Linked DNA regions of Alligator mississippiensis. The protein of the gene in region 1 binds, or shares a complex with, the protein of each later gene. Links are inferred from orthologs where the notes say so. Each region holds a gene or a part of one and is shown on either strand. Other genes may lie near its edges. The genes, in order: TMEM67 and MKS1.

What was found.
Region 2: TMEM67 (region 1) and MKS1 share a complex: the UniProt entries of both Homo sapiens proteins name them as parts of the tectonic-like complex. The link is inferred for Alligator mississippiensis from reciprocal best matches to the Homo sapiens genes TMEM67 and MKS1.

Annotation. Positions count from the first base shown.
Region 1 is NC_081826.1:43,991,441-44,006,172, forward strand, and holds the start of TMEM67 (meckelin), read right to left. Parts: upstream 6,048-14,732; 5' UTR 5,996-6,047; coding exon 5,806-5,995; intron 1-5,805. Other genes in the region: RBM12B (RNA-binding protein 12B), read left to right, coding at 9,336-11,450. UniProt on the Homo sapiens protein: Required for ciliary structure and function. Part of the tectonic-like complex which is required for tissue-specific ciliogenesis and may regulate ciliary membrane composition.
Region 2 is NC_081837.1:29,519,808-29,534,832, forward strand, and holds the start of MKS1 (tectonic-like complex member MKS1), read right to left. Parts: upstream 7,040-15,025; 5' UTR 7,027-7,039; coding exon of another isoform or gene 7,010-7,026; coding exon 6,930-7,009; intron 6,834-6,929; coding exon 6,717-6,833; intron 4,763-6,716; coding exon of another isoform or gene 4,759-4,762; coding exon 4,698-4,758; intron 4,664-4,697; exon of another isoform or gene 3,514-4,663; intron 2,607-3,513; coding exon 2,451-2,606; intron 2,438-2,450; exon of another isoform or gene 2,317-2,437; intron 1,898-2,316; coding exon 1,800-1,897; intron 1,563-1,799; coding exon 1,434-1,562; intron 1,103-1,433; coding exon 998-1,102; intron 1-997. UniProt on the Homo sapiens protein: Component of the tectonic-like complex, a complex localized at the transition zone of primary cilia and acting as a barrier that prevents diffusion of transmembrane proteins between the cilia and plasma membranes.

The DNA.
Region 1 (14,732 bases):
TGCATAGTGCTAGCCAACATAGCACTGCCGAGCCTATAAGGATGCTGCGGGTTTTTTTTCCCAAGGTGGAGAACCTTGCATTTATCGGCGTTGAACACCATCAGATTCTCATCCGCCCACTTGCTGAGCCTGTCCAGGTCAGCCTGGATCATCCGCCTGTCTTCTGGTGTGGATGCTTTGCCCCAAAGTTTGGTGTCATCAGCGAACTTGGCCAGTCCGCTTCTGACTCCCGTGTCCACATCATTAATGAAGATGTTGAACAGTATGGGTCCAAGGACAGAGCCCTGGGGGACCCCACTGGTCACAGGACACCAGGATGAGTGACTTCCATCAATTACTACCCTCTGGGTCCGACCCCAGAGCCAATTTTCCAGCCAGTGGATCGTGGAGGACCCAAGGCGACAATTGGCCAGTTTCTCCAAGAGACGATCATGGGACACCAGATCGAAGGCTTTTTTGAAGTCAAGATATATGACATCAATCTCATCTCCCTTGTCCAGGTGATAGGTCACCTGGTCGTAGAAGGAAATGAGATTGGTCAAGCAAGACCTACCCACAACAAACCCGTGCTGGCTATCCCTTAAGATGTTGGCGTCGGCCAGTCCATTAAAGATGGCCTCCTTAATAAACTTTTCTAAGATCTTCCCCGGGATAGAAGTCAGGCTGATGGGCCTATAGTTAGCCGGATCCACTTTCCTCCCTTTCTTGAAGATAGGCACCACATTGGCCTTCTTCCAGTCTTCGGGCACTACACCAGAGCGCCAAGAGTTTTCAAAGATCCGCGCTAGAGGCTGGGCTATGATGCTCGCCAGCTCCTTGAGTACCCTGGGGTGAAGATTGTCAGGGCCGGCTGACTTGAAGGTATCCAGCTTCTCAAGATGTTCCTTCACAAAGTCAGCATTAATGGAGGGCAGGGGATCACCCTCACCTGGACTTTTTGCCCAGTAGCAGGCACGGGCGTCCCATGGGGCTGATGAAAGACCGACGCAAAGTACCTATTTAATAGGTTGGCTTTTTCCTGGGCGTCAGTTGTCAGTTGCCCCATCTGGTTTAGCAGGGGTCCAACGTTGCCCCTGCTTTTCCTCCGGCTCCCCACATATCTGAAAAAGGACTTTTTATTGTCCTTGATGCTCAAAGCTAGCTGGAGTTCAGTTGCAGCCTTGGCTTTCCTGGTCTGCTCCCTACAGGACCGGACCAGTGCAGAATAATCCTCCTTGGAGGTGACTCCCATCCTCCATCCTTTGTAGGCCTTTCTTTTTAGCCTCAGGAGGTCTGCTAGGTCCCTGGAGAGCCAGGGGGGCTGCTGTGCCCTCTTGCTGCCTTTCCTCTGAGATGGAATAGACTTAGTTTGTGCATTGAGGATCGCTCCCTTGAGGAGTAACCACTCTTCTTGAACTCCCCTCTCCCTGTGGTCACAGTCCCTTAGGGCCTCACTGACAAGCCTCCTGAGCTTGTCAAAGTCGGCTTTCCTTAAGTCAAGGACTTCCGTGTTGCTGACTGACTTGCCAGCTTTTCGGCGGATGGTGAAGGTGATCAGCTCGTGGTCGCTGTCACCCAGCTTCCCATCGATCACTAGGTTGCCAACTAGGTCATCCCCAGTAGCCAGCACCAGGTCGAGCAGCGCTTTGCCTCTCGTTGGCCCATAGACTTCTTGAGTCAGGTAGAGGTCATCCACGCACGAGAGGAAGCTTTGTGACCGCTCAGATTTTGCTGAGCGATTCTCCCACGAGATGTCTGGGTAATTGAAGTCACCCATGACAACCATGGTCCTGGAGCAAGCTGCCTCAGCCAGTTCCTGGGCAAACTCCTGGTCTAGCTCAGGACTTTGGGTGGGAGGTCTGTAATAGACTCCCACCATTGTGTCCCCTGTGCCGTGTTCCCCACGGATTTTAACCCAGAGGGTCTCCAGCCGTCCACCCTGGTCGCCAATATCGGCTTGCAGGGACGCGTAGCTTTTCTTAACATAGAGAACTACACCCCCGCCCCTTTTCTCTACACGATCCCTCCTGTACAGGGTATAGCCATCTATCCCTGTGGTCCAGTCATGGGTGGAGTCCCACCAGGTCTCCGTTATCCCTATGACATCGTAATTGTTTGCACTGAGCAGGAGGATGAGCTCCTCCTGCTTATTCCTCAAGCTCCTGGCATTAGTGTACAGGCAGACAAGTGCCCCCTGGGGGGCTCCTTCCTTGCCCACAGATTTTACCAGGGCTGGGGCTGGGGTGGGCTCCCTTGAGTGCTGTGATCCGCTGGCTTTGCAAGGATTGCTCAGCGGGCCAGCAGTGGCGGTAGTCCCCCCGTCCCCCAGCGGGCTTAGTTTAAAGCCCGGTGGAGCAGGTCAGCCAGTCTGGCTGAGAAGAGCCTCCTCCCTAGAGGAGAGAGGTGGAGACCATCTCTTCCCAGCAGCTCGCTGCCTCTCTCGCCAAAGAGCGGGCTGTGGTCATGAAAGCCAAAGCCTTCCTGACGACACCAGTGCCGCAGTCTTTGGTTGACCACATAGATCGTCCTGTCCCTTCTCAGCCCATAGCCTGAGACTGGGAGGATCGACGAGAACACCACCTGTGACCCCAGACCCTTAAGCCCCGCTCCCAAATCCCTGTAGCGCCTCATGACCTGGCTGGGAGTGCTCCGAGCCGTGTCACTGGTGCCCACATGAATAAGGAGCATGGGATAGTGGTCTGTGGGTTTGAGGAGCTTGGGGATCCTCTCCGCAATGTCCCGGATGCAGGCCCCTGGGAAGCAGCAGACTTGCCGGGCTAAGGGGTTGGGGTGGCAGATTGGCCCCTCCGTCCCCCTCAGGAGGGAGTCTCCCACAACAAACACCTTACGTTTTGTCTTGATCTAACTTCAAATCATTGAAGTTAGATCAGGAGTGCTCAACCTGCAGCCCAAGCAGCCATTGCATCTGGCCTGTGGGGCTCCTCACCAAATGGAAAATTTGTCAGAGGGGAAGCAGTAGCCATTAATATGCCAAATCCCCAAGCCTGGTCGAAGCCAGGCCACCACCATCCCTGCAGCCTGGACCATGCCTCCTTCCCCCTTCCCACACTCCCCTTCCCCCCCGCAGGGCCAGACTGGGGCTGATCATGCCTCCCCAATCATACTCCTTTCCCTCACAGGGCTGAGCCATGGCCCCCACTTTTCCCAGGTGGGGCTGGGTCACGCCCCCTCCCCCTGCAGGACCAAACCATGCCCTCCCATGAAGCCTCTTTCCCCTTTCTGCAGAACCAAGCTTGAGCTCGGCTGCAATCTGTCCCCTCCTCCTGGACCAGTGGTGTCTGCCCCTGGGAGCTGGATAGGAACTACTATCCAGGAGCAGCAGACCAGGCATTGCCCATGAGCTCCCACAGGGAAAAATGTTGAACACCACTGCCCTAGACTGTTACATAAAAATAATACAACAAAGTTTCCAGGGTCATAGAACCATAGCTTCTCAGTGCTGGAAGGGACTTGAGGTCATCTAGCAAAATACAGGCCACAGGCCAGATCCAGCCCAAAGGATTCTATCCAGCCTGTGGCAGGTTCCTTGGCCCTGCTAGCCCAGGAGCCAGCCCAGGCACACATGGCAGGGCAGTGGCAGAACAGAAGCCAGACTTGATTTCCTGGCAGCCTCCATGGCAGGCTGCTGCTGCCTGCATCTCTGCTGCTGTCACCACTGGTGGACCCAGCCCCACTACCTGGGCACCCTGGTGCATCCACTGCCAGGGATGGTGGATGGAGCAGCTGGGCGGGGTCTCCATGGAGATCAGCCTGGGACCCCCCACAAGCAGGCTATGCTCAGCTGGGTGGATGGGATGGGGCTGCAGGCAGGCAGGAAGCAGAGTCTAGGAGCAGGATCAGCAGGCAGGGCTAGGGCTGGGATCACAGGGCAGTGACAGTGTGGGGTCAGGGGCAGAACTGTGATCTGCTCCCTGCATGTCCCTGTTCCTCATCGCAGGGATGTGCAGGGACTGGGTCATGGCTCTGCCTTGTGCCCTGCCCACCCTTCCCTCTCCACGACACTACTCCCCACCCACCTGTGGTGCCCTCCCATTTGTCCAACGCAGTGCAATGAATGGTCTCCATGGAGACCTTGCCTGCCTGCTCACATTATCTGGCACCCCCAGCACAGGGTGCAGGGTGGACGCCAGGCTGGACAGGATCAACTGCCTCCCCTCCCCTCCAGCACCTCACCAAAACTCCCTAAAGAGCCCTCCAGCCCGAATCATTGTCCCCCTGCCCCCAGATTAATCCATCCCTACTCAGTGCCTGCCTATTCTGCTCTCCCAACTGCACATAGATGGAGGCTATGCTGTCGCTGTGGGCCACCTGCTCATTGTTGCCAAGAGTATAATTATCATATTTGTACGATAATTTCAACCCTTGTACGATCTATAACAGCAGAAGTCTTCAAAATGTATGATAATTTTTGAGGCAGCTAATTGATGCAGCAAATTCTAAACCCAAGTCACTCTCAGGGAGTTTCAACTGACTTTAGGGTTTGCTGCCAGCACTTCCTTATGACCAAGGATCCTGGTTTTCCCTGATTTAAGAAATAAATAAATAAACAAAAAAATTGCAATTTCTCTGATAAAACACCCTGGAAAATCTGCGATTGAAATGAAAGGCCACTTGTCCCCCCAATCCTGCTGGTGCCCCTCATTCCTTCCACGGTCCCCCGGCCCTGCTTGTGCCAATCACTGCCACCCCCACAGCCCCACCCAGCCCTGGCAATGCATCCCCAGCGCATGCGGCAGCAGCGAGGGGCACAACGCCATGGTGCTGCCCCTGCTGCTGCCTTGCGCAGAGGGCATGTCACTAGGGCAGCGCGGATCTCGCAGCAACAAAGAGATCCCTGCATGGCCCTGCCGTTCCCTGAACCACTGGTTCGCACCTGTCGGGCTGCAGATGCTCCAGGGAAGGGCAGCAAGGTGGGAGCCTGACCCTGCAGTGTGCAGCCTGCACCCACCCTGCATATATATCGGGGGGGGGGGGGGGGAAGGGGGGCACAGGTCCTCCCTGTTTCCTGGGAGTGTGCGTAGCGGCAGGAGCTGGCCTTACTCTGCTCACCCGCCAGACAAGCTGTGGCCTCATGCTACTCCCCACCAAGGCCCTGTGGCCACACACTGCAGCCCAGGGCCACACGCCCCATGCACTGCCCGGCTGGGACAGCAGCACCAGCCCTGCCCTCCCTATGGGAGGCCTCTATTCCCCCAACCCTGCACCTACACCTAGGAGCTGCTCTCCAGGCTGCCCAGCAACTATGTGCGCACACACGCACACGCTGCCCCCTGCCTGACCGCCCTCCTCCCACCCGCCCCAGCCCACCTGCAGAGCGCTCTTCGCAAAACTGCAAAATCTTCAGGTTTCTCTGATAAACATGAGAGATCCATGTTTTCCACCGGTAAAGGGGAAAATCCGTTGTTTTCTCCGTTTTCCCACAGGATCCCTGCTTACAACTGCTTGCCTCAAAATAAAGAAATGCTTCAGCGTTGATGACCCAGTTCTTGCTCGCTGCCTGGCTAAGACTTATTTACATACTTATGTGCATATTTTCAGCATACAATCGTTTTTCAGCCAATACAATAATTTTGAGCTTCCAATAGGATCATTTCATATTTAAGACCCGGCAACGCCGTGCCGCTACGGCGCCCTCCCGGGCAGGACCTGTTCTCCCCTCTCCAGCAGCTCGAAGCCGCGGCGCCCCAGAGAAGTCTCATCTCCAGGGCTCCCCCGACGCGCTCAGGGGCCGGGGCCGGCAGCCGCACGGCAGCTCCCCTGAGCAGAGGGCGCGGGCGGGGCGACGCCTTGCACCTCACCGCTCACCCGAGGCGCTGCCCCGCTGGTGCGGCCCGCACGCCCCGCACGCCAGGCTGGCGGTGTCGAAGTAGCGCGGCTCGCCGCAGTCGCGGGGCCGCCGCAGGGGCAGGGAGAAGCTGTGCCCGGCCGAGGGCCCCGCGCCCAGCAGCAGCGGCAGCAGCAGCGCGACGGCGGCCCAACGCCCAGCCGTCGCCATGGCGACCGGGATCCCGCTGGCGGGGGTGGGGGAGGTCCGTAGCCAGACGTCGCTGCGGAGCGCATGCGCGCCGTCTGTAGCAATCACGGCTCCCTATAGGCCGCCTGCGCGCGTCCGGGATGCAACCCGCCTATGCGTAGTGAAACCTGAACCTAGCACGCACGCGCAGTTAGCACCGGAAGTGACGCAACGCAAGCCGTACGCGCCTCCTCCTAGCGGGAAGCGGTTGGAGGCTCGCGCGTCTGTTGGCGGGAAGGTCAAAGGGGAGGGGGTCGCGCCTGCGCGATGCGGCGAGGTGTGGGGCGGCGCCATCTTGTTGCTGCCTGACTTGGGCGCTGAGTGAGGGGACGGTTCCTCGCGCCTGTGTAGTGGGCACCGGTGTGTACGGCGGCGGGAGGCGGCTGCTCGCGCTGGGCCGCGTCGCCTGCTGGCTCGGAGGGGGGCGGGGCGGGGTTCCTCGGCGACCGGCCGCCCCACGCTTGCAGAGGGCCAGAGGCGGGGGAGGGCGGGAGCGGCCTGTTCTCCCCGCCGGCCCCAGCGCCGGCTCTCGGCCCGGGCGGGAACGCGGGATGCGCCGCCAGCCGGCCCGAGCGGGCCGAGGAGCGGAGGACGGGGGCGGCGGGAGCCCAATGGCTGCGCACGGGAGCCGGGAGCCTCGGGCAGCAGGAGCGCGCGGCTGTCGCGCTGCGGGAAAGGGACCTCCTGCTTCGGCGTCGGCCACTTCTCACACCAGCCCCGGGCGCTGGTGCTTCGCTGCGTCCCCCGCTGGCTCCTGTGTGGGGCTCCGTCCTGGCGGCCTGCTGCGGAAAGGAGAAGGATGGGCGGCCCGGCTGTGGCACTGTGGGCCGGGCCCCGTTCCCGTGCGAGGAGATCGCTGCCTGCGTTGTGAAGTGGCATCAGAAATGGAGCTTGAGCTACGCAGGGTTTTAGGCTTGGAGCCGGTGGCTACCTAGGGTTTCACAAAACCCTTCCTGCTCGGTCTCTCTCAACCTCCTCCTTTGAAGGCTTTGCTCAAGTGTTGATCTGTTCATAGGTATTTAAAGAAAAAAGCTTTCTAAGCTACCTGTAGCTTTGTTGGGTCGTTCCTTTAAAGCACTTGTTGCCTTGCATGCACTTGCAGCTGCTGGTTGCATGGATGGACGGCTAGTGGAAGTTCATTGGCTGCACTTGGCTCTTTTTTTATCTGTGGGACAACTTCAGTTTCACTACTGTTGTGATCTTTGTCTGGTTTAAAGAATAGTAGCTGTATGTTAGGCCTGGGATGTATCGCAGGGATCTTGATAGTTATCGTCACAGAAACGTCGCTGATTCTGGGGTGAAGACAGAATATTGGGTAATAATTGGTATGGGAATGCAGAAGGGAAGTAGAAAACTGCTGACATACTACAGACCACCAAATGAAATGCAGGCATACGGATTTGACTTCGAGTCGAAGGTTTGTTGGGAAAATTGGCTTTCCTGTTGAATTCTTCCCTTGCATGTTGGCGTTGCCATTTTATCGATTGAGAAGATAGCTGTACAGATGTGGGAAGCTCTTTATCTAGAAGTGTGATTTTCAGACATGCAGTTGTTTTAGCTTGTAGCTGTTTTTCCAAAACAAGGATGTAACAAATTTAGAAATTGGCACTGGATTTGCCAGTTACAGAAACGTTTTTGGTTTTATTTTTTGTGCTAATTCAGGTGAAGCAATGGGCTGTTCTGGTTATGAGGTGGCTGTGCAGATCTGTCTCTTCCCTGGTCTGTTGCAAGTCTTGCTGCATAATGTTGTATGCTTAAACAGTTGTCAGCCAGAGTTTATTATTGCTAATGATATGATGGTAATTCCATGCATAGGTTTACCTTGTTTCTGTAGGGGAATATGCTATGTAGTCTATGGCTTTCATGCTATAGGAATTGTTTAAAGACCAGGATAAGTCTAAGATTCTCAAGGTAGTGTTTTTGGTTCTGTGATTGAAGGACAGTAGGTATTTGGGGGGAAATACAAATGAGTTTAATTTGTAACTTCCTGTACTCTCCGGAATTTCTGCTTGTTGAATTTTTTTGCTCTGTCTTATGGTTTTCTTCATTATGTGTCTTCAAGAATACCATGGTGGTGAGTAGCATATTCTGTCACGCACTTCAAAAGCAGGTGGATTTCAGAAGAATTGGACATTTAATGTAATCTTCAGTGGGACTTATGCATCTTTCAAGGACTAAACGAAGAGGTTTTTCCTTTTACCTTATTGGCCATTGTTTCCTGTGAACAGTTCAGTGTGGCACAATTGATGACCCATTAATCTTGGCATGTTTTCATCATTTGCAGAAGCAACTTTACCTTTGAATATTTTACTTCTAAATGGATTCACAGGCAAAAGTGCAAGGCATAACATTTTGCTGAATTACATTGTCTGACTTGTATTTCTCTTGGAACAAGGAAGGAATCCTCTCCATAACAACCCAAATCGTGGTTTCATTACAGTGCTTGGCTGTTAATATTAGCTATTGATATGGATGTACAATAGCAATGTGGCACAGTATTTTAACCAGATGTGATATCAGCCATTAATTATGTCTCATTTTCTTTCCACAGTTAAGTTGATTTTACAGAATTTATCAGGTCTTCCAAGCAGAACCAGGTAAGCTGCCTAAAGGCTAACATTTCTCGCTCAGTATTGTCAAAAGACCACGCAAAGCCATTTCTCACAGACTTTATGACTGGGAAATAGGAAATGCTTTCCTGAATGCATTTGGCTGCTGCAAGAAGAGAGACAACGTTGTTGCATTGTTTGTTATATATACGCATTTGTAAGCAGAACTGGTTAGTTGGTAGACAACTTGTCTGAGAGCATAACATTCGTTACAGTCACTGAAATGCTTTTTTGGTGATGTAGGGGTTTTTTTTTTCTTCTTTTTTCCCCTCATCTTTTATTTTCAGTTTTTTCAGTGCTGTGATAGCAAGTGCCTCTAACACAAAGAGAAGACTTTGGTTCTTAGCATCTCTGACAAGTAGCAGCCATGCCAAGAAAGACTTGAGATGGTCCTTATTTATCGTGGATGGTGAGGAGTTGACTCATGTGGATCTTGTTGCCTTTAGATAGGGAATATTGACAGATTGTGCATACTTCCAGGTGGAATAGCTAATGGTTTTGACTAAATCTACTTCAAGATTAAAACAGGATTCAATGATTGTGGTGAACTTGTGAGCTTCTTGCTTGATTTCATAAAGCTTGATTGAATCAGGGATTTTCATTAAAAAGGTGTTAGTTTAAGAGCTTAGATACTGCGATAGATGAGTACTAAAGACTTGCTATCATGTGTACCTTTTTGTCTGCAGGTGATTTTGCTGTGAGTTGAGCGCAGCATGGCTGTAGTCATCCGTTTACAGGGGCTTCCTGTTGTTGCGGGCCCTGCAGATATTCGCCGTTTCTTCTTGGGATTGAATATTCCTGATGGAGGAGTGCATATTATTGGAGGAGAAACTGGGGAGGCTTTTATTATTTTTGCAACAGATGAAGATGCACGACGTGCCATGAGCTGTTCAGGAAGCTTTATCAAGGACTCCCGCATAGAACTGTTTCTCAGCAGCAAAACGGAAATGCAGAATACTATAGAAATGAGCCGGAAAAGGTTTGATCGTGGAAGAAGAGAAACCACATCTGGGTCTAGACGAACAAGTCTTAGTAATTCTGGTGCCTCGAGCGTCGGCAACATTTCACATTTAGTTGCGGCTATTACAAAAGGAATGAGTAAAAGTCCATCAAATCACACAGATGCTGGCTTTCATAGCAATGGTACAAGACATGGTGATTCAAGCATAGCAAACTATAACCAGTCGAGGAAAGAGTTGCTTTCAGGTAACCTTTATTTATTTCTGAGAGGTTTACCGTACTTTGCAACTGAAGAAGAAGTACGTGTTTTCTTTTCTGGGTTACGAGTGGATGAAGTGATCTTCATAAAGCGTCGCAATGGTCTGAATAACGGAAATAGCGTAGTAAAATTTGCTACACCTAAGGATGCTTTGGAAGGACTTAAGCGTAATAAACAATACATTGGCTCAAGATTTATAGAAATAAGTCCAGCCCCAGAGCAATGGATCAAATACTGTGATAGGGCTAGCATGAAGAATGAGATTGAGATTGAGATGGAAATGGATCCCTTTTTAAGTAAAGAGCATTCTCCAGTGAGAAGTTCAAATTATATACATTCAAGGAAGCATTCTCATTCAAGATCTCCTCCAAGGAGACAAAGAACACGAACACGGTCACGGTCACATTCGCCTCATAGCCAGGATTATTGGATACACTTAAGAAATCTGTCTACAAATCTTGAGAAGAGAGATTTGAGAGCTTTCTTCGGAGAGCTGGATATATGTAGTAACCAAATCAAGTTTTTAACAGACAAATATCAAAGGAGAACTAGAGATGCTCTTGTGATGTTAAAGAGTGAAAGAGATTATCAAGCAGCTTTGGGATTTCATAGGATGGTTCTTTTCAACCGTGCTGTGTACATCTTTCCTATTTCTAAAAGATCGATGTTGAAACTAATTGAATCTTATGAAAAGAAAAGATCACAAGAAAGAGATCGGCCTGGGCAGACCGTACTGGAAAAAGGTTACCGAGAGGGGCATGCTGGCCCTAAAATGTGCATCTATATAAGAAATTTTCCATTTGATGTGACAAAAGTTGAAGTGCAGAAGTTCTTCGCAGGATTTGCTATTGATGAAGATGATATTTACTTGCTCTACGATGACAAGGGAGTTGGGCTGGGGGAAGCATTAGTGAAGTTTAAATCTGAAGAACAGGCAATGAAAGCAGAAAGTTTAAATCGGCGAAGATTCTTGGGAACAGAAGTGTTACTGAGACGTATATCTGAAGAACAGATGCAGGAATTTGGTATAACTATTCCAACATCAGCACCAGGTGAAAAGATACACGGTCATTCACAGGCATATGACAGAAGTGAGCATTCTCGTGCAGTTGGCTCATCATCTGGACCACCACAAGGACCACCTCAGCATTCATTTGGTCCTCCTGGGAGCTTTAGGCAGGGTCCTGATTTTAGACGCCCGCCTGACGATTTCATGTGTCCCCCTGAGGATTTTAGAGGTCCCCAACATTTCATGGACTACGGTGGTGATGGCAAACACTTTGGGAGAATGGAATTTGGAAACAGGAACATGGGGGGCTATCCAGAGGGAAGATTTATGTTTGATCCAAGTTTTGGTGGTGGTTCTGATCATGGAGTACCTATCCAGTTAAAGAATTTACCTTTTAAAGCCACCCCTAATGAAATTTTGGATTTCTTCTATGGCTACAGAGTCATTCCAGAGTCTGTTACTATACAATATAATGAACAAGGATTACCTTCAGGTGATGCCATTGTTGCCATGACAAATTATGAGGAAGCAATGGCGGCTATTAAGGAACTAAATGATAGACCAATTGGCCCACGCAAAGTTAGGCTCAGTTTACTCTAAAGGTTAATTGCCTCTAAAATGAAAAAACCTAGACTTCACAGTATTGATGGATTCTTACTGACAATTCTGTTATTGGAAGAAGCAGAAGAAACTATTTCCATAAAAAAAGGAAGTTGTAAATAGTGTCAGGTTCAATTTTCCATTTATAGTTTTTGGTTCAAATTGATGTTTGTAAGGTAAGACATCTTAGCACTGTATTAGGTTAACTTCCTTCTGTGGTGGGGGAGAGCCTAGTAATCTTACTGAACTGTTGATTGACTTTTAATACCAAGATAAAATCTTGGAGCTGTAATGCTTTTGAAGATTTTTAGTGTGCTTCATTTCACGGTCCCATGATTCTTTATATCTTATGAAAATATAAGTGCTGGCTAACTGACATAAGAGACCGTTCAAATTGGGTAACTTTAATGTCATCTTCATTAACAAATTACCTTGCATTTTTATCAAACCTACATATTTAGGATAAATTGTAAAGATGAACAAATTCCTTATGTGCACACTTAGTCTTTTTTGTTTTCCTGTGGTCACAGGTACCTCAAATAGTTTCGTGTTCAAGTTAGCCAGCCTTACAACTTTTTAATAAAATAATTTGCAACTGACTTTTTGGATTACTTGTTTAAGCTTTTTTACACTTACCCATCTCAAATTCACTTAAGTTGGTCATGGGAGCCAGATATGTTTGCTGCTGAGCTAGATTCAGAAATCATCTTAAAGTTGGGTCATCTTAATGTTTCTTATCCATACTTGAATCTAGTATTGGGATTTAGGGATATCTAAAGAGCAAAAATCACTTGTCTAATTATCTTGCTTACGCTGGTGGTTCTCAGGCGGGGTGCTGCAAGACCTTTTTGAGGGTGATACAGTGCTGCTGCCAGGTGGAACTGTTCCAGGAAACTCGTTTCCAGGGGATGCTATACAGACTAGACAGGGAACTCACTGTAGTAGTAGGGAGTGCCATGCTGCAGCTTGGCCTGATGGAAGGTCCCACTGGTGTAAATGGAGGGGATGAGGAGGGGCACAAGCCCCAGGTCCCCTCCACCCTGTGGTCTGTCTTGGGCCAACCTTTTCAGAGATTGGGAGGGCTGGTTACACAGCAGGCAGCTTGGGTGTTGTGGAAGATGTGTAGAGAAATGCACAGGGTGGGGCAGAAAAGAGGGATGTTCTGTGGTGAGCTGCATCACAGCAGGTGGAGGGGGGGACCCATGGTGGGGTGAGAGAGTGCCCACCCAGTTTGAGAGAGACTGTCCCAGGGCACAAGTCTTTATCTGGAAGGTCAAACAGTTTGTGCAGCAGTAACTGCCACTCCTGCCCCTGCTGCTTTAATTTGGGTCAAAGCAACACCTCTCAACACTCCAGTGCTGATTCCCTCAGCTGTGGATTGAGTCACTGACCTCCCAGCACACTGGATGAGCTGTGACCTCAAGTGCCAGCAGGCTCCCTGACAAACAAGGACCAGCATTCTACGAAGCAGAAATGAGCATGCCTAGGCTCTTCTGGGAGCAGTGGGCACTGGCTGAGGCACTTGGTCCCCACTTTCTCAGTTGCACAGCTCTGCGGTTCCGCTGTGCCATTTCTCCATTTCTTGAGGATCCTGTGAGGCCCCAAAGTCAAATCTGTGAAACCCAGGGCAGGTTCGGTGAAGGAAATGCCTGTTACCCTCTGCACCTCCGCAGCATACCAAGGCAGGGGCGCTCTCTCTCCATGGCCATATCTACAGCTGACATGATGGACCGGTTACTAGAAATTGACTAGAGCTATTTCCACTTTAAAGTCTATCCTATATTTTTATCTATATACTGTTTTATATGGTTGAAAACCTCGTAGGAAATTTGTGCGTTACAGTGGGGCTAATATCTTACTAAATTTCAAACAGAACCGTTGGTGGTGGGACTTGGTGATTGCTGTTTTTTAAAATCAGGTTTCTGTGACTGATTCCATGGCCCGGCTCTTACCACGTACTGAAGCCTTCTCTTCTAAAGTAGCATTCAGGTAGGTTCCACATTGACTTTTCAGAAACACTGTACTAGAGAGGAAATAACTTTATCTGAGTTTTTTTTTACTCTGCTCCATGGACAGTGAATTTGTGATGGCTTTCTATGGTCCTGAAATGAGGGTTAGTATTTTAGCAATGAAGAAATGTTAAAGTAGTTGCATTGTAGGGAAGATGATTACCAGAAACTTCAACAGCAAAGAGGGCTGCTGATAAAGATGAGGGTTATGGTAGACTTATGAGCTAGCCTGTTGGTTGGGAGGGGAAAAAGGCTTATGCAGCATTTCACAAGCTGAAGACTAAGCACCATAGAAGCATGAAAGACGCAGTGAAAGTTGCTCTGTGGGTAAGCGTGAAACTTAGTGATGAAATAAATACATGCTTCAATTTGAATGTTGGGATCAGAATAAATTGTTTATAGTGAACAATTTATTGAATGTTACTTACTTACAAGAACATAAACTTATATCAACAGTTCTTAAAGGAATGTAACACCAAATTACTATAGGAAAAGGGTTCAACAGTCAAAAGCAGAAGCTTCTTGTAGACTCATTGCTGACATCCCCATTTTTTCTTAAGTGATAATGCATAAGGAAATGTATGCAGTTGAGTTTGTATTTTGAATATGTTTAACTTCCACACACACTTTTCAATGGAGGAAGAAGTAAATCAAGCATTAGCTCTTATTTTCTAAGATAATGTAAATGCAAGTGTGTTCCTTTCATGTAGTGTGTTATCGCCCCACTCATATGAAAGCTAGGAAAGCAGGTCCTCTTCATAGGACAGAAATGGTTGTGCTGTACCTTCATCTGGAGAAATCTAAGACCGGAGAAACTTTAAATATAAAGTTTTCAGCTGCTACATACACACTTATGAGACCACTTAAGTGTTACCTGGTTTAGGTATCTAACTGAAAGTAGTTTCAATGGTATCCTGGTTTCTAAGAATCCATGCCAATTTATGGTATTTCAAAAGAAATGTAAAATGCTTCATCTCCTTGCTGTTTAAAAGACATGCATTAGAGAAACCTGGCATGCTTTAGAGAGTAAATTATGAAACTGCTTCTACAAAGAATTGTCACCTGAATGGAAACTGATTGCCAAATCTAAGTGACAGTGTCCAGTGTCTAATCTAATACTAAGAAGCTCTATATGTGTTGCACTGTAAATACTTGATAATTTTCTTCAACCTGGACCAGATGAAAAAGTTTTCTATGCAAGTATTTCTACAGTAGTGCACTCGTTACATGTTTAAAAGTCAGAATTCATTGATATGTTGTATAATATACCCTC
Region 2 (15,025 bases), on another chromosome or scaffold:
ACCCAAGGATCAAAACTTCCCCTTTTCAAGGGAAAGGGGGAAGCTCTCTCTCAGGACTCCCCAAGAAGCAGCCTTATTCAGTCTGTCTCCTGAGAGACAGCGCTAGTGTGTCTTCACAAAGGGCTTAAAGACCCTGGCTCTTCTCAGCCCCTGGCTTCTGTGATCTGTAGCACTCACGCCTATTGGAGCTCCTTCTTATCAGTCAGCTCCTGGGAAGAAGAGAGAGTGTTTTCTTCTTTTTAAGATGGATATCAGAGTGCCGATTGTCCCATAGCACCACAGACTCTGGTCCAAAACAAATGGTATTTATTGTGCCATTCCAGTTCCCTTTGTCCTCACTTGGACTATTCCTTTACTCTTGGTCCACCCTGGGACCTTATCCCAGTCCACTCTAGACCTTCTTTCCCACCCTGGCTGTCTCACAGCCTGGCTCATTCTCCTCTGGCCCAGTCAGCCACACTTGCAGCAAACCAGTTACAAAACTATAGCCTTAACCTGGGGACAACCTCACTCAATACAACGGATCATGGGAAACCAAACTTAGAGTAGTCTCTGTGGCCTGCTGTCAGGCCTAGACTGCCACATGCCCCTGGAGTGAAAATGACATATGTCCTACTTAAGAAACTATTTACAAGAACTATTTACAGGAGAGGAAGACCAAATAAGCCTGCTTCTTGTGGGAGTCCCAAGGAAGAGCTTTCCCCTTCCCCTTGAAAAGGGACATAATGCCCTATGTGACAGCACTCCATATAAATACATCTTTCTTACCTACCTGGGTAGTGAGCTGCCTATTCAAGAGCCTCAACAAACAGGCACAATGACAAGATGACACCAGGCAGAACCATGATATTATTCTGCAGGCATCTCAGATCATGCTTCCTAGCAAAGTGTTAGGTTGCAGGATCTCCGAACTAGACATCCCCTTTCACAGTATGAAAGGTGACCCATGAAAAGTAATTTCAGTCCCTCGTCATGCAGTTAGTCCTGCCCAGCTCACCTGTAAGCACCTTTGGTGCCTGTGAAATCTGGCTTCACTGTGATCACCCCATTGCTGTCCACCTTGATTGTGCAAAGAACATGTTCATACTCCCTGCGGCCAAGCCTGGGACAGAGACCAAGAAACAGCAATGGAGTCTGAATAGAGCCAGCAGACCTCTGGAATGACAGCTTACATGTGTACATAGGGCAGAGGGGGTTCAGACCCATCTGTATCCCTACTCATCAGAAAGATAGGAGGAGGAGGGAAGGAAAACATGTACAATGCCTCCCACAGAGATAACAAGTAGGAGGAAACAACAGCTGGTATTGCTGAAGCTCTTGGGAGTCCCTCGATCCCCTTCTGCCAACTTGTGTAAGGGGTCGGAGCTTTGATAAAGAGGGGAAGAATAGAGGTTCACATCCAGCAGACCAACTCACTCTGAGCATTTCCTTACTTTCCATACGCTCCCAAGTCTGCCATAATATACATGGTCTGAACAGGGGTGTTGATGACATGGTTATTCTTAATAAATTCTTCCGAGGGCTCCCAGGTGATGATTCGTGACTTCAGAGTGCTCCCCTCCCTGCCAAGGATACCACAAAATGCTATTATGCACACTCGCCAAGCCACTCTATAAAACACATCATGACACCAGTACAAACTAGCTGAGTACAGACAACAGTGTACATGGTGAGATGCACAACCTGGGATCCAGCATGAGAAGGCACAACACCAGGCTCTGGATGGAGAAGCCAGACCCAGATGGGCACCAGTGCTGGAATCCACTCTCAGTTTGTTCTGAGTCATTCTTTGTACTCACATAGGCCTGCGGTCCTGTCTTCTCCTCCTCACATTGGCCATCCTTTCTGCCAGATGTGATGTCACCTCATAGTCTGAGTTGGTCATTTTCTGACAGTGCTAGAAGAGAAGGCAGGAAGTGAAACTGTTATTCCTACACAGGAACAGGTTCTCTTTCCCATGAGAAAGGCAGAACCATTTAATGCCAGAAGATTTGCCCTTCTCCCTTCTGAGCTCCAAAGGCCATAGCAAGAACGCAGGCAATTACATGTAAATACAGACACACATGCATGCTCCTCTCAGCTGCTCTAGGGCACAGAAAGCCTGAAAAGCCTTGGATCTCCCCTGTGAACAGCACAGCACAGAAAATAGCCCAGCTGTCAGCTGTCAGGTGACTGCAGAGTTCATCCTCCATTCTTTTAACTTGGCACATTTGAAGCTCTACCTTGCTAAGTCATCCACCATTTTGACAGCTTCCTCTTGGCTTTCATTGTGCAGCACTCAGAAAGAGGCAGAATTGGGGCAGTAGGTGGGAGTACCTTGCAGAAGCAGTGTGTTCTACTGCCCTAAAAAGCTGTCCTCTCAGAGTCCTTGGGTTCAGTTGATGCAGGACCTGGCCATGTTGAGAGAGATGACTGGCGGCAACAAATTAGGCATGATTAACAACAGGTACCTCCTCCAGGTTGGTGAATCGGTCATGGTCTGTGTAGGTGAAGATGCGGTAGTTTTTCCGGCCTCCTGTCTTCTCCAGCTTCAGGATCTCCTGGTGATACTGCCGATCCAGGGGAGACTGACAGGCTGACTCATTTTGATACAGATCCACCTCAAACTAGGAATGGCACAGTAAAAACAGAGATTTTGGCATAACATGGATAGCAGAGATTAGAACCAGGAAAAGCCTCACGGCTGAGATTTTTTAAAGAAGCCACAGCAAGTTAAGTGCCTTTGTAAAGCCCAGTTTTTAGCCCGGGGTGGACAATTATTTGGGCTGGAGAACCACTGAATGAATTTCAGTGAGCTGTTGAAGGCTGCATGAGCACCTATGTGCACACGCGTGCGCACACACACACGTGAACTCCTCAAAGCCAGGCCAAGTCTGGCACCAGAATAGCAGCAAGAGTGGGAGCATGAGCCCACCTGGGTCTGTAGCATCTTATCTCTGCTCCTCCATGCTCTCTGCCCCTGTGCTGCCCAGCTTGGCTGCCAGCAGGTAGGAAGGGGGCTAAGAGTCAAGCTGTGCGAGGGGCAGGGCTGTGGCATTTGCAGCCCCACAGAGCCCAGCTGCAAGGGGGTGGGGAACACCCCCAACTCTTAGTCTTCCCTCTCCCCCCTCCCCGGCTCGCTGTGCAAACCCCAGCTTGGAGGAAGCCAGGACAGAGACTCAGTTCCCCCCCTCCCCTACCCCCATCACTGCGCGGGCCTCTGGTGTTACAGGAGACACTGAGCAGAAGCAGCCCTGCCCACACAACACCATGGGATTGGACTCCATCTCCTAGCTGCCGTGCAGTGCCAGGCAGGTGGGGCTGCTTCAGCCCAGCATCCCCTGTCACATCAGCAGAAGCCAGAGACCCCCACCCCACCTGTGGGCCTGCCAATTGATTCATTGATTCTATCTGGCCCATGGACAGAGGACAGCTCCGGCTCTGGCCTCTGATGGTGCCACAGGCCAGACAGAATCAATTGGCAGACCAGATACAGGCCATACTGTATTTTTCCCACCCCTGTTTTAGCCCTACCCTTAGTTCTTTAGGTCTCAACTAGGCCATTCCCCAAGGCTTGAGGTACTCCTGCACTGACATCACCCACAGGGTTCCAAGGTGCTTCTAGGTATGGCCCATTTTCTTCTCACAATACCACTGCCTGAAAGTGACTTGAGCCACTTTGTGCCCAAGTTCCCCTACCTGTAAAAGAGGAAGCATGGCTCACCTGAAGTCACACAGAGTTATTGGGACAGATAGAAACAAAACTCTTGGTATCTTTTAACTTGCATTTCTGACCTTTAGCCCAACCACACATTCATTCTTACAAAGCCCATCATGTGATTTCATTTTAAGCAGGTTTCAAGCAACAGGATCTTCACTTCTCTCCTGGGGAGGCAATTCCACAAAATGATAAACCCCTCTGCTGCATGGAAGTGGTGTTCTGTATTCATCTTCCATTTTGTCTGTTGTAGTTTGATCCTGTCATTTCTAATTATTACTGCATTAACTTGTGGCCTGATCCTGGAGACAGATGTCAATACATTTACTCATGCAGGGAGTTCCATTCCTTCTGATGGAATTACTTGGCTGAATAAAGCTGCTCAAATACATGCATGCAGGACTGAGCTAAGGTTGATTTAGTGCTTTAGTGGCTGTAATCAAATGAAGTACACAGATTCTTTGTAGTATTAAATTGGATAGCTCCATCAAAAAAATGGTGAAAATTTAGGTCACAGCCATGTTTCAACTGGAGACAAAAAGCCCCTATCTATAGGAGAACCATATTTGTGAAAAAAAGGCTGATGCATTACCATTTGGTCAACATCTAAGGAAGTTTCATAGAAACTAACTATGCAAAAATTAAGATGGCCAATTCTTGTGAGATTAAGAAGGAAACATTAAGGCTGTGCTTTACACACAGATTCAGACCTCCGCCCTGAAAATATTTCACAGAAATCAAGCTGTACTTTTGTTGTTTACACACACACACTGGGAGAAAATATTATTGAAAAGCCTCCGAGAAGTACATCAGAAACCAGTTCTGCTTGTTCCTGTTCTCTAATTTGGTACTGACCACACAAGAGATCAGAGAGTAGCCACCCCTTCTAAACTGCAGCAGCACAACTGGGAGTCACAGGAACCTCTATTCCTCTTCGCCATTTGAAGAAGATGCCAGAGGCTCCTGCTGGCAAGGTCCTCCCACTCTTCCACTGGCTCACCTGACTGAAGAGTTTCTCCTGCCATCCAATCACTGCCTCTTCTTCCTCATCATCAAGACAGCTACCTAGAAGATAAGAGGTGTCAGACCACTGTTTCATATCTCACTTGACCCTCTGACCCTGCTTCAGAACTGTGAGCAAAGAGAGCCCTTTGAACATTTCTTCTCCATTCTGTTTGGTTTTACGGGCAGCATCTGGAACTCACAAGGTAGCCACACTGCCACATTTTGAATTCCCAAAGCACTTATACCTAGAGAGCAAGAAGCTTACGTTCAGATCCAAGCAAGGCTTCCGGTGCTTCTCTCTATGGTGGCATGGGAAGAGTACTCGCAGCTGAAGCCCCGTCAACCACCAAAGCCTCATGTCCACAGGCTGAATTCAATGGCTCTGCAGGCCCGATTCAGCCTGCAAGTCATAGGTTGCCAACCCCTGATCTAGACAAATTACCAGGCTGGACACTTTTCTGTATATTTTCCAGCTCTAATACCACATTAAAGAAACTACAAATGCATCAAGTCCTTATCATATCATTTTTACATGTAAGCGGTTGTAGCTGCCACTGGCATGTTAGGTGATAGTAAACAGAGTGGACTAAATGCAAGGGAAAGTGTCCAATGGAGGATTAAGACATGGTCCATACTATAGAGGTACTTGGGAACCCTTGACAAATATTCCAAGGAATTTGCTTTTCCCTGTGGACATCATTTGCTTTCTGTGGGTCTCTGAGTTTAGAAATAAAACTAGACGATAGGGAGGAATTGCTTTTCGTTTGCAGGAAAGAAAAAGAGCCCCATGAGTTGAACAGTCCTATGTCTAACAGTAAGTACACGACACCCTCGTTAACACAACTGCTTTTCCTCGTGAAGACAGCCCCAAAGAGACAGCCCCTTAGGCTGGTTGCACTTGCATCACCCTGGCTTGAAAGACTTCAGTTTGAATCTCAAACCCACCTATTGCTCCAGAGGAACCCAAGAGAGGCAAGACCTGCCTTAGTTGGGAGGAAACATTTGATGGCCTGGGGAGGGCGAAACCTTTTCAGGTTGCAAGCCAGACCGACCCAGTTCAGGTCAGAGGTGGGCTTGTGCACCGTGGGCAGGCGTGAGGATCCAGCTGCTGTCACTAGTGCTTTCTGCAGCAGCTAGGCCGGGAAAGCACCCACCACTGCTGCTTTTCTCTGTGGTCTATAGCTGGTGCTCATCCCCATGACAGCACGGGAAAACTTACCTGGCAGCGGAAACGCCATGTATCTGGGTCCAAGAAGGCAGTTTTCCTTAAGCCCTCCCAGGGATAACTGTTCTTCTGGCGCGGTTTAGTACCCACCGAGGTGTTGGGGCTTAATGCCTATTTTATGGAAATGGGAGGCTCCTCCCCAGCTTGCTCCTGTCACCACATGGTTGCAGGCAAGCGAAACTTGGGGGCATCCAAACCCCAAGCCTCCAGGCTGATGCCCGCCAAAAGACATGGGAAGGATCTAAAGCCCCGGCAGGTGGAGGATGTTCGCTGGTTGTAGAGCCACATATGGTTCGGGCCCGACTCATGGATTTGGACGTGATTTGGCTCAGAACACAATTAAAAAAAAAAAAAAGACAGCAGGGGAAAACAGCTGCTGAAGGGCCCACGGCTGCGGGGGAACGTGCTGCGAGCAGAGGGGGAAACAGCAGCGCCAGGTGTTTTCCTTGCGCAGTCACTGGGAAAAGCAGCAGGAGCAGCTGAGTCCTAACATCCCCCCCATACCGGGTCAATCTGGCTGTAGAAACCTGGCTCCTAACATCTGCCCAGCACGGACCCAGTGTGGGGGGGAGAAGTGGGTGCTGCAGCACCACATCCATGGCCAGGACCCGGGTGTCACCGCACTGCTGGACTGCCAGGGGCAAAAGCAGAGGCTAGGACAAGCCGGCAGAGGCCCCGCTCAGCCCGGAGAGGCCCCGGGGGTTGCAGGGCGCCAGGCCCTGAGGCTCCCGGGGAGACGTGGCTGGGGCGGCCGGCTCTGAGGAGGTCTCTGCGGGGGGACGACGCCACCTACTTGCCGCGGTGCTGGGGGTGGCCGGGCCCAGGAGCTGCTTCCCCGGCGGGCCGGCGGAGCGCGGCAGCTGCTGCAGGAGGAGGCCGGTGGACGTGACGCGCTGGAGCCGCACCCTGGCGGGGGCACGAGGGCACGGAGCGGTGAGCCCGCGGCCGGCGGGACGGGGACGGGGACGGGGTCGGGGACGGGGAAGGGGGGCGGGCCCTCACCGGAGGCGCAGGTTGCGCACGGGGTCGCGGGAGCGGTAGACGGCGCCGCCCGTGTCCGTGCTCCAGGCCGGCTCCGCCATGGCCCCGCCGCAACCATGGAGACGGCGGGCGCCGCCCCGTCTGCGGCCCAGCGCCCGCCCCGCCCCGCCCCGCCCCGGGCTCCAGCCTGAGCGCCGCGGGGGAAGGGGCCTCCGCCCCCACAGCGCCGCGGGAGGCGCGCACGGATGTCGCCTGGCTGCACCGGGGTGCCATCCGCACACCCACCAAGGCAAGCGGCAGATTAAAAGCCCAGTCGTGCAGGCGAGCCAACTGCAGCTGGCTACTAGCATCAAGGACGGTAAGTCCTTTTTCAGATCTGCGGGGAGCCGGAGGAACAGCAAGGGCAACACTGGACCCCTGCTGAACCAGATGGGACAACTGACAACCGACGCACGGGAAAAAGCCAGAGACTAGCTGACAGCAGCATCCTGAGGGATCCCCAGCACGGGTTTGCTGCCGGTAGGTCGTGCTTGACCAATCTCATTCCCTTTTACAACCAGGTGACCTATCACCTGGACAAGGGGAAGAGATTGATGTTGTATATCTTGACTTTAAAAAAGCCTTCGATCTGGTATCCCATGATCACCTCTTGGCAAAACTGGCCAACTGTGGCCTTGACCTCACCACGATCCGCTGGCTGGGGAGTTGGCTCCGCGGCAGGACCCAGAGGGTGGTGGTTGACGGAAGTCAATCGTCGTGGTGTGCGGTGATCAGTGAGGTCCCTCAAGGCTCTGTCCTAGGGCCTGTACTTTTTAACATCTTCATCAATGATGTGGACACTGGAGTCAGAAGCAGACTGACCAAGTTCACCGATGGCACCAAACTCTGGGGTAAAGCATCCATACCTGAGGACAGGAGAGTGATCCAGGCAGATCTTGACAGGCTCATGAAACGGGCGGATGAGAACCTGATGGTGTTCAACACCGAAAAATGCAAGGTTCTCCACCTTGGGAGGAAAAACCTGCAGCATCCTTATAGGCTCGGCAGTGCTATGCTGGTTAGCACTACAGATGAAAGGGACTTGGGGATCATGATTGACCACAAGATGAACATGAGCCTTCAATGTGATGCTGCAGCTAGTAAAGCGAGCAAAACGCTGGCTTGCATCCATAGATGCTTCTCAAGCAAATCCCAGGACGTCATTCTCTCGTTGTACTCAGCCTTGGTGAGGCCGCAGCTGGAGTACTGCGTCCAGTTTTGGGCTCCACAATTCAAAAAGGATGTGGAGAAGCTTGAGAGGGTGCAGAGGAGAGCCCCGCGCATGATCAGAGGTTAGGAAAACAGACCTTACGATGAGAGGCTGAGAGCTATGGGACTCTTCAGCCTGGAAAAGCACAGGCTCAGGGGTGATCTGGTGGCCACCTATAAGCTTATCAGGGGTCCTCACCAGGATCTGGGTGAACGTCTGTTCACCAGAGCACCCCAAGGGATGACAAGATCGAATGGTCACAAACTCCTCCATGACCGTTTCAGGCTGAACATAAGGAAGAACTTCTTTACTGTCTGAGCCCCGAAGGTTTGGAATAGACTGCCGCCGGAGGTGGTTCAAGCACCCACTTTGAATGCCTTCAAGACACATTTGGATGTTTATCTTGCTGGGATCCTATGATCCCTGCTGACTTCCTGCCCCTGGGGCAGGGGGCTGGACTCCATGATGCTTCAGGGTCTCTTCCAGCCCTAATGTCTATGACTTGCAGCTGCTGAATGCAGTGCATGACTCCTCGCACTCTTGGCTGGTATCAAATCTTGGCTGGTCAAATCAACATGCAGCATTGATTTGAGTGCATCTTAGTTTCTTCATGGCCAGCCCAATAACAGTTTGCATGTGTATTGTTTTCACAGCCTGTCTGCTTCATAAATGGAGCCCTTAACCCAGCAACCACTAGCGTCCGGACTGGGCTTAATACCTGTAGGTGTAGAAAACAGTTTGCTTTTCTTCTGCATTGGTTCATTATTAGATGAATATATTGATAGTCCTGGGTATGACTGAAAACTGCACCCGATCGGGGTTTGGGGTCACTGCGGTGGGACTGCTCGTGCTGGAGCAGCCCCTAGAAAGTGCTGCCAGGGCCAAGGCCCGAGGAAGGGCAAGTCTGGGGAACTCTAAAACTAGGGCTGCACCGATAAACATTTTTTGGCTGATACTGATAGCTCATTATTAGCCAGCCATATCGGCCGATACCGATCCAATTGCCAATACGCAGCCTGGCAGCTTGGAGAGCAGCGTCCGGCTGGTAAGATTGTGGGGGGGAAGGGACTGAGAGAGAGAAGGAGCGTGGGGGGCAGATCGAGGCCCCCACGGTGAGGGAGGGAGTGGGACTGGGGCAGGAGCAAGGGTAGGCACTGCCCAGCCAAGGCAGGGCGTGGGATGGAGCCAGCAGCACATCCAGGGGGCGCCGAGGGTGGGGAGGGGGAGCAGCTCCTGGCACTGTGTGCACACCGAGAGAGGTATGGGGGGCATGTGTCTCTCCGGATTTGTGCGTGGGGGTGAAGGCAGGCTGCTCACTGTAGGTTTGGGGCTAGGGGCTGCACAAGCGTCTTTATAGCAGGGGCTGGGCAGGTGGCAACAGTAGCACTAGGAGGCGGGTAGCAATGGGGTGGGCTACAGCCACCCCAAAATTCACCATAGCCTCCTCAGTAGCTCTCCCTCCCAGAGCCACAGTCACCCACCCCACCCTCCCCTGCCCCAGGCACAGCCCTGGCTCAGTACCCATTCTGGAAAGAGCCCAGTGCAGCCCCTGGCCCACTTTTGCCCCATGCAAATTGTGGCGGCACATGCCTCCCCCCAGGGGTGCACACAACAGCGGGAGCTCCCCACCCCAGACAAGTTGCCTGTGGCTTCACCCTGTGCCCCACCCCACCCCAGCTGGGCAGCACCTGCCCCAGTCCCACTCCCTCCCTCACTGGTGGCCTCAATTGTCCCCCCGCACACGCACACCCCTACCCACCCCATGCTCCTTCCCCCCCACATACTTACCGGCTGGGTGCTGCTCTCCAAGCTGCCAGGCTGCATTCCTGGCTGCATGCATGCTGTGGCTGTGCACATACACACAGCATTTATTGGTAATATCAGCTGCATCAGCCAAAAAGAGCTGATTGCGGATAATGTCAATTTTCCTTTTATCAGTGCCAATACGGTATGGACCAATGTATCAGTGCACGTCTACCTAAAACCCCAGCCCCCACTGCCTTGTGGGTTACCCCCTGGTGGGTAAAGATTAGAGGAACTGACCCCGAAATAAAAGTAAAGGCAGGGCCAGATTATTAACTAGAGTAGACAGCTATACCTGGCTCCCTCTGGAAAGTCTTTTCTGGTGGATCAGGTGGTCAAGCAGATATGCTCATCTCCCTGTCTGTGAAGGCAGATCTGTCAAGAGCTGTATGGAAAGTGTAGGGCATCAGTTCAGGTGCAATAGGAGCTGATGGCCATCTACTGCATCCAGACTTGTCTCCAGATGTCTTGACTCACCTAATGTCATGCCACTGGATTCAGACAGGCCTGGACAAAAGAGTGTGGGTGACTCTGCACAACTTTCCCTCACTTAAATCCAACTTGCACACAATTCATAACATCATCGTCATCTCCCATAGACACACTCAAGTCCTGTGGCGATGGGCGAGCAGCAAAACAGCAGGTGTGGATACACTGGGAGCTGTAGTTGCAGACCTGTACACAGGCAGTTCAGGGCACATGATCACTTCTCACTGGACCAAAGCAGCAGTGGAATTCAGCAGCCCCCTGGGCGACTGGGCAGCCCTATTTAGGTTCACACTGCTCACCTCTGTAGTATGAAGAAGGGGCTAGAAAAGATGCCCTAAACATTTCATAGACATTAGGGCTGGAAGGGACCTCACAAGATCATCAGGTCCAGCCCCCTGCCCAAGGGGCAGGAAGTCTACTGGGGTCAAATGATCCCAGCAAGACAAGCATGCAAGTGGGTCTTAAAGGTGTCCAGAGTAGGTGCTTTCACCACTTCTGGGGGGGGGTGTCTATTCCAGACTCTGGGGACTTGGATGGTACAGAAGTTTTTTCTTATGTCCAACCTAAAATGGTCTTCCTGGAGTTTGTGACCATTAGACCTTATCTTCTCTTGGGGCACTCTGGTGAACAGATTTTCTCCCAGTTCCTCATGCACACCCCTTATATACTTATAGGCTGCCACCAAGTCCCTCCTGGGCCTTCATTTCTCCAGGCTGAAGAGTCCCGTGCCTCTCAGCCTCTCATCATAAGACTTGTTCTCTTGCCCTCTGATCATGCACATGGCTTTTCTCTGGACACTCTCAAGCTTCTCCACATCCTTCCTAAAGTGAGGAGCCCAGAACTGGATGCAGTATTTCACCTGTGGCCTCACCAAGGCCGAGTATAGCAGGAGGATGACTTCCTGGGTCTTGCTTGAGTTGCATCGATAGATGCAAACCAGGGTTTTGTTTGCCTTGCCAGCTGCGGCATCACATTGGTGGCTTATGTTCATCTTGTGGTCAATCATGACCCCCAAGTCCCTTTTGGTCGTGGTGCTAGTGAGTGTAGCACTGCTGAGCCTATAAGTATGATGTGGATTTTTTTCCCCTGGAATGGAGCACCTTGCACTTCTCAGTGTTGAATGCCATCATGTTTTGATCCGCCCACCTTGCAACCCTGTCCAGGTCAGCCTGAATCGCCAGTCTATCCTCTAGTGTGACCACGCTTCCCCATAGGTTGGTGTCATCAGCGAATTTAGCCAGTCTGCTTCTGATACCTGAACCTAAATCATTTATAAACATGTTAAAGAGTACTGGTCCAAGTACAGAGGCCTGGGGGACACCGTTAGTTACCATGCGCCATGTTGACATGGTTCCATCCACTATCACCCTCTGGGTACAACCACAGAGCCACTTCCCGAGCCATCAGATCATGAGGTTGTCAAGGCTTCAGTTCCCCAGTTTAACCACGAGAACTTCATGGGAGACTGAGTCAAAGACTTTTTTTGAAGTCCAAGTAAATAATATCAAACTCTTCTCTTTTGTCCAGATGATGTGTCACCTGGTCATAGAAGGAAATGAGGTTGGTCAGGCAAGACCTACCTACAGCGAAGCCACGTTGGCTGTCTTTCAGAATGTTGCATTCCATTAGCCTGTTGTTAATGGTTTCTTTGATGATTTTTTTTCCAATATCTTTCCAGGGATTGAGGTCAAACTGATTGGCCTGTCGTTCTCTAGATCTTCCTTCCTCCCTTTCTTGAAGATGGATACCACATTGGCCCTCTTCCAATCCTCAGGAACCTTACCCAAGCGCCACAAATTCTCAGATATCCTTGCCATTGACTGCACTATGATGTCCGCCAGTTCTTTTAGCACTCTTGGGAGCATTCTACCTGGGCCAGTTGATTTGTGGATATCCAGCCTCTCAAGGTGTTCCTTCACAAGATCTTCACCAATGATGGATGTGTGTTCACCCATACCCTGGCAATCCTGCATCTTGTTTGGCAGGGTGATCCACTTGGGCTGGTGGAAAACCAACACACAGTAATCATTAAGGAGATTAGCTTTTTCACGGGTGTCAGATGTCAGCTGCCCCATTTGGTTTAGCGAGGGTCCAGTGTTGCCCTTGTTTTTCTTCTGACTACCCATGTATCTGAAGGAGGTCTTTTTATTGTCCTTGATTCCCATACCCAATCTGAGTTCAGTTTCAGTCTTGGCTTTCCTAGTTTGCTCCCTACAGGTGCGGGCCAGTGCTGAATAATCCTCCTTGGCGATGTTACCTGATTTCCAACCCTTGTAGGCTTCTCTTTTCAGATACAGGAAGTCCATGAGTCCCATATTGAGCCACAGGGGTCACCCAGCCCTTTTGCTACCTTTCCTACGGGCTGGGATGGACTTCCCTTGTGTGTCAAGGATCACATCCTTAAGAAGCGACCACTTATTGTGGACTCCCCTCTGGTTCCTCAGGGCTTCAGCAACCAGCCTCCTGAGCTTATGAAAGTCGGCTTTCCTAAAATCGAGGATTTCTGCACTGCTGACTGATTTTCCAGTTTTGCAATGGATAGAGAAAGTGATCAGCTCACAATCACTGCCTCCCAGCTTCCCTTTGATTCTCAGGTCACTCACTAGCTCATCCCCTTTGCCCAGTACCAGATCCAGGAGTGCCTTACCTCTTGTTGGCCTGTAGACTTCTTGAGACAAGTAGAGTTCATCAATGCAGCTGCTAGCCTTCCGTACTCTTCCCTCATTCTTCAGGCAAAGAGCCTGGTGGTAGGCATCAATCACCTCTTCGCCATCCCTGATGGCACGCAGCCTAGGCACTGCAGCCTGGAGCTCCGCTATCTGGCACTCCAGGGACTCTAATGTGGAGCACACCCCCCAAGGGGAGATGTCATTGCTCCTGATCCATGTGCCAGGCAGCCCCCACAGCCAAGAGCCAGGGGCTCTATCTGGGTGGAGGCTGGAGCCATGGGCTCCGTCTGGGTAGAGGCCTCAGTGGTATGGGGGGGGCTCCAGCTGCAGGGGCAGGGATATTCAGGGTGCAGCATATCACCACCATCGTACAGGTAGCAGCCTGGGCTACTGCTGCACTGACCCTTCTCTTCAGAATCACTGTCTAGAGCCTTGTGCCCCTCCTGCTCACCCTCCTGCACGAACTCTCATGCTAACTTGCGTATCAGGCCCAGAGCATGCCTGTTTGCGTGACTCCCTAGGGACTGGGCTAAGTAGGAGTTGTTGAGCATGGGTGTGACCCTCCTTGGCTCCACTCAGCTGCCTCACTGGCTAGTGCCCATCCACTGTGGGCCTCACTCACTTCCCATCTTGCTCTGGGGTCTGGTTGGGGGTCTACTAGGACCCGAGCTTATGGGGGCATGACAGGCTCTCACTTGTGCATCTCGCTCTGGAGCTGGGTCTTGATTGAGGGTTTTTTTCATTGGCGCGGCCTTTTAAACCCTGCGCATGCGCAATAAGCCTGCTAGCACCATGCTGTTCTCAGGGACAGGGAATGCCTGTCCCGCCAGAGAAGGGGGCAGGTAAGCGCCCCCTCCTCTTCCCCTACTGCTCCCTAGGGGCTGGGCTAAACAGGAGCCCAGGGGTGGGGTGAGTGGTGACCCTCCTCAGCTCCACTCAGCTGCCACATTGTCTGCTTCACCTTAACCTTGGTCAGCATACCGCAATTGATGGGGATCACACTACACTGGTCAAAAAATCACACAAAAAGAAAAAGACAAAGATTACACCACTCACCATCGGTGCTTGGAATGTGCATACACTAATGGACTCTACAACAGCAGATAGACCAGAGAGAACAGCTCTAGTTGGTAGAGAACTGGCCAGATTCAACATTGAGATACCAGCCCTGTGTGAAACTCGCCTAGCTAAAGAAGCTACGTCTTACTGAAAAAAGAACCAGCTACACATTCTTCTGGAGTGGCCATAGTAAAGAAGAGTGATGTCTGATGTGAAGCTGGTGTTGGGTTTTGCCATCAAAACACTACTAGCCAGCAAGCTTACAAATGTCCCAAAGGGAGTGAATGACACACCTATGCGAATGAGACTCCCACTGTCTGGGCAAAGATGTACCACTATCATCAGCACTTCGTACCCACCATGGCCAACCCAGATGTGATTAAGGACAAATTTTATGAGGACCTCATGGGCTGAGGGAAACTGAGATCATCCAGTTTCCTTTCCCTAGTTTTCCTAGACACTCACTGAACACAGAAGCCACCTTATCCCCCACAGGTGTCCTTCCCCCCTCGCCTCCATAGCCCCAAGCATACGCATCTCCTGACCAAGTGAAAAATGCGTGTTGGTGACACACTGTAGTTGAATCATCATAACTTATCACCAGCCTAGATCAAGGACAAAAAGTGCACCCATTGGTTTAAATATAAGGATCCTCTTGGCTTTTCAAACAGACTTTGACTTTCAAGGTTAATTATCACACTACAAAAATGTTATTAGAAAGGGATTCAGTATTAAATAAATGGTACGCATACAACCTTAATTCAGCCTTTTAACCGCTTCTCCCTTCCACCTTGTTAGTTGTAATTAGTACATCAGCTGGTGGCATTTTGGTGAAGGACATCTTGATA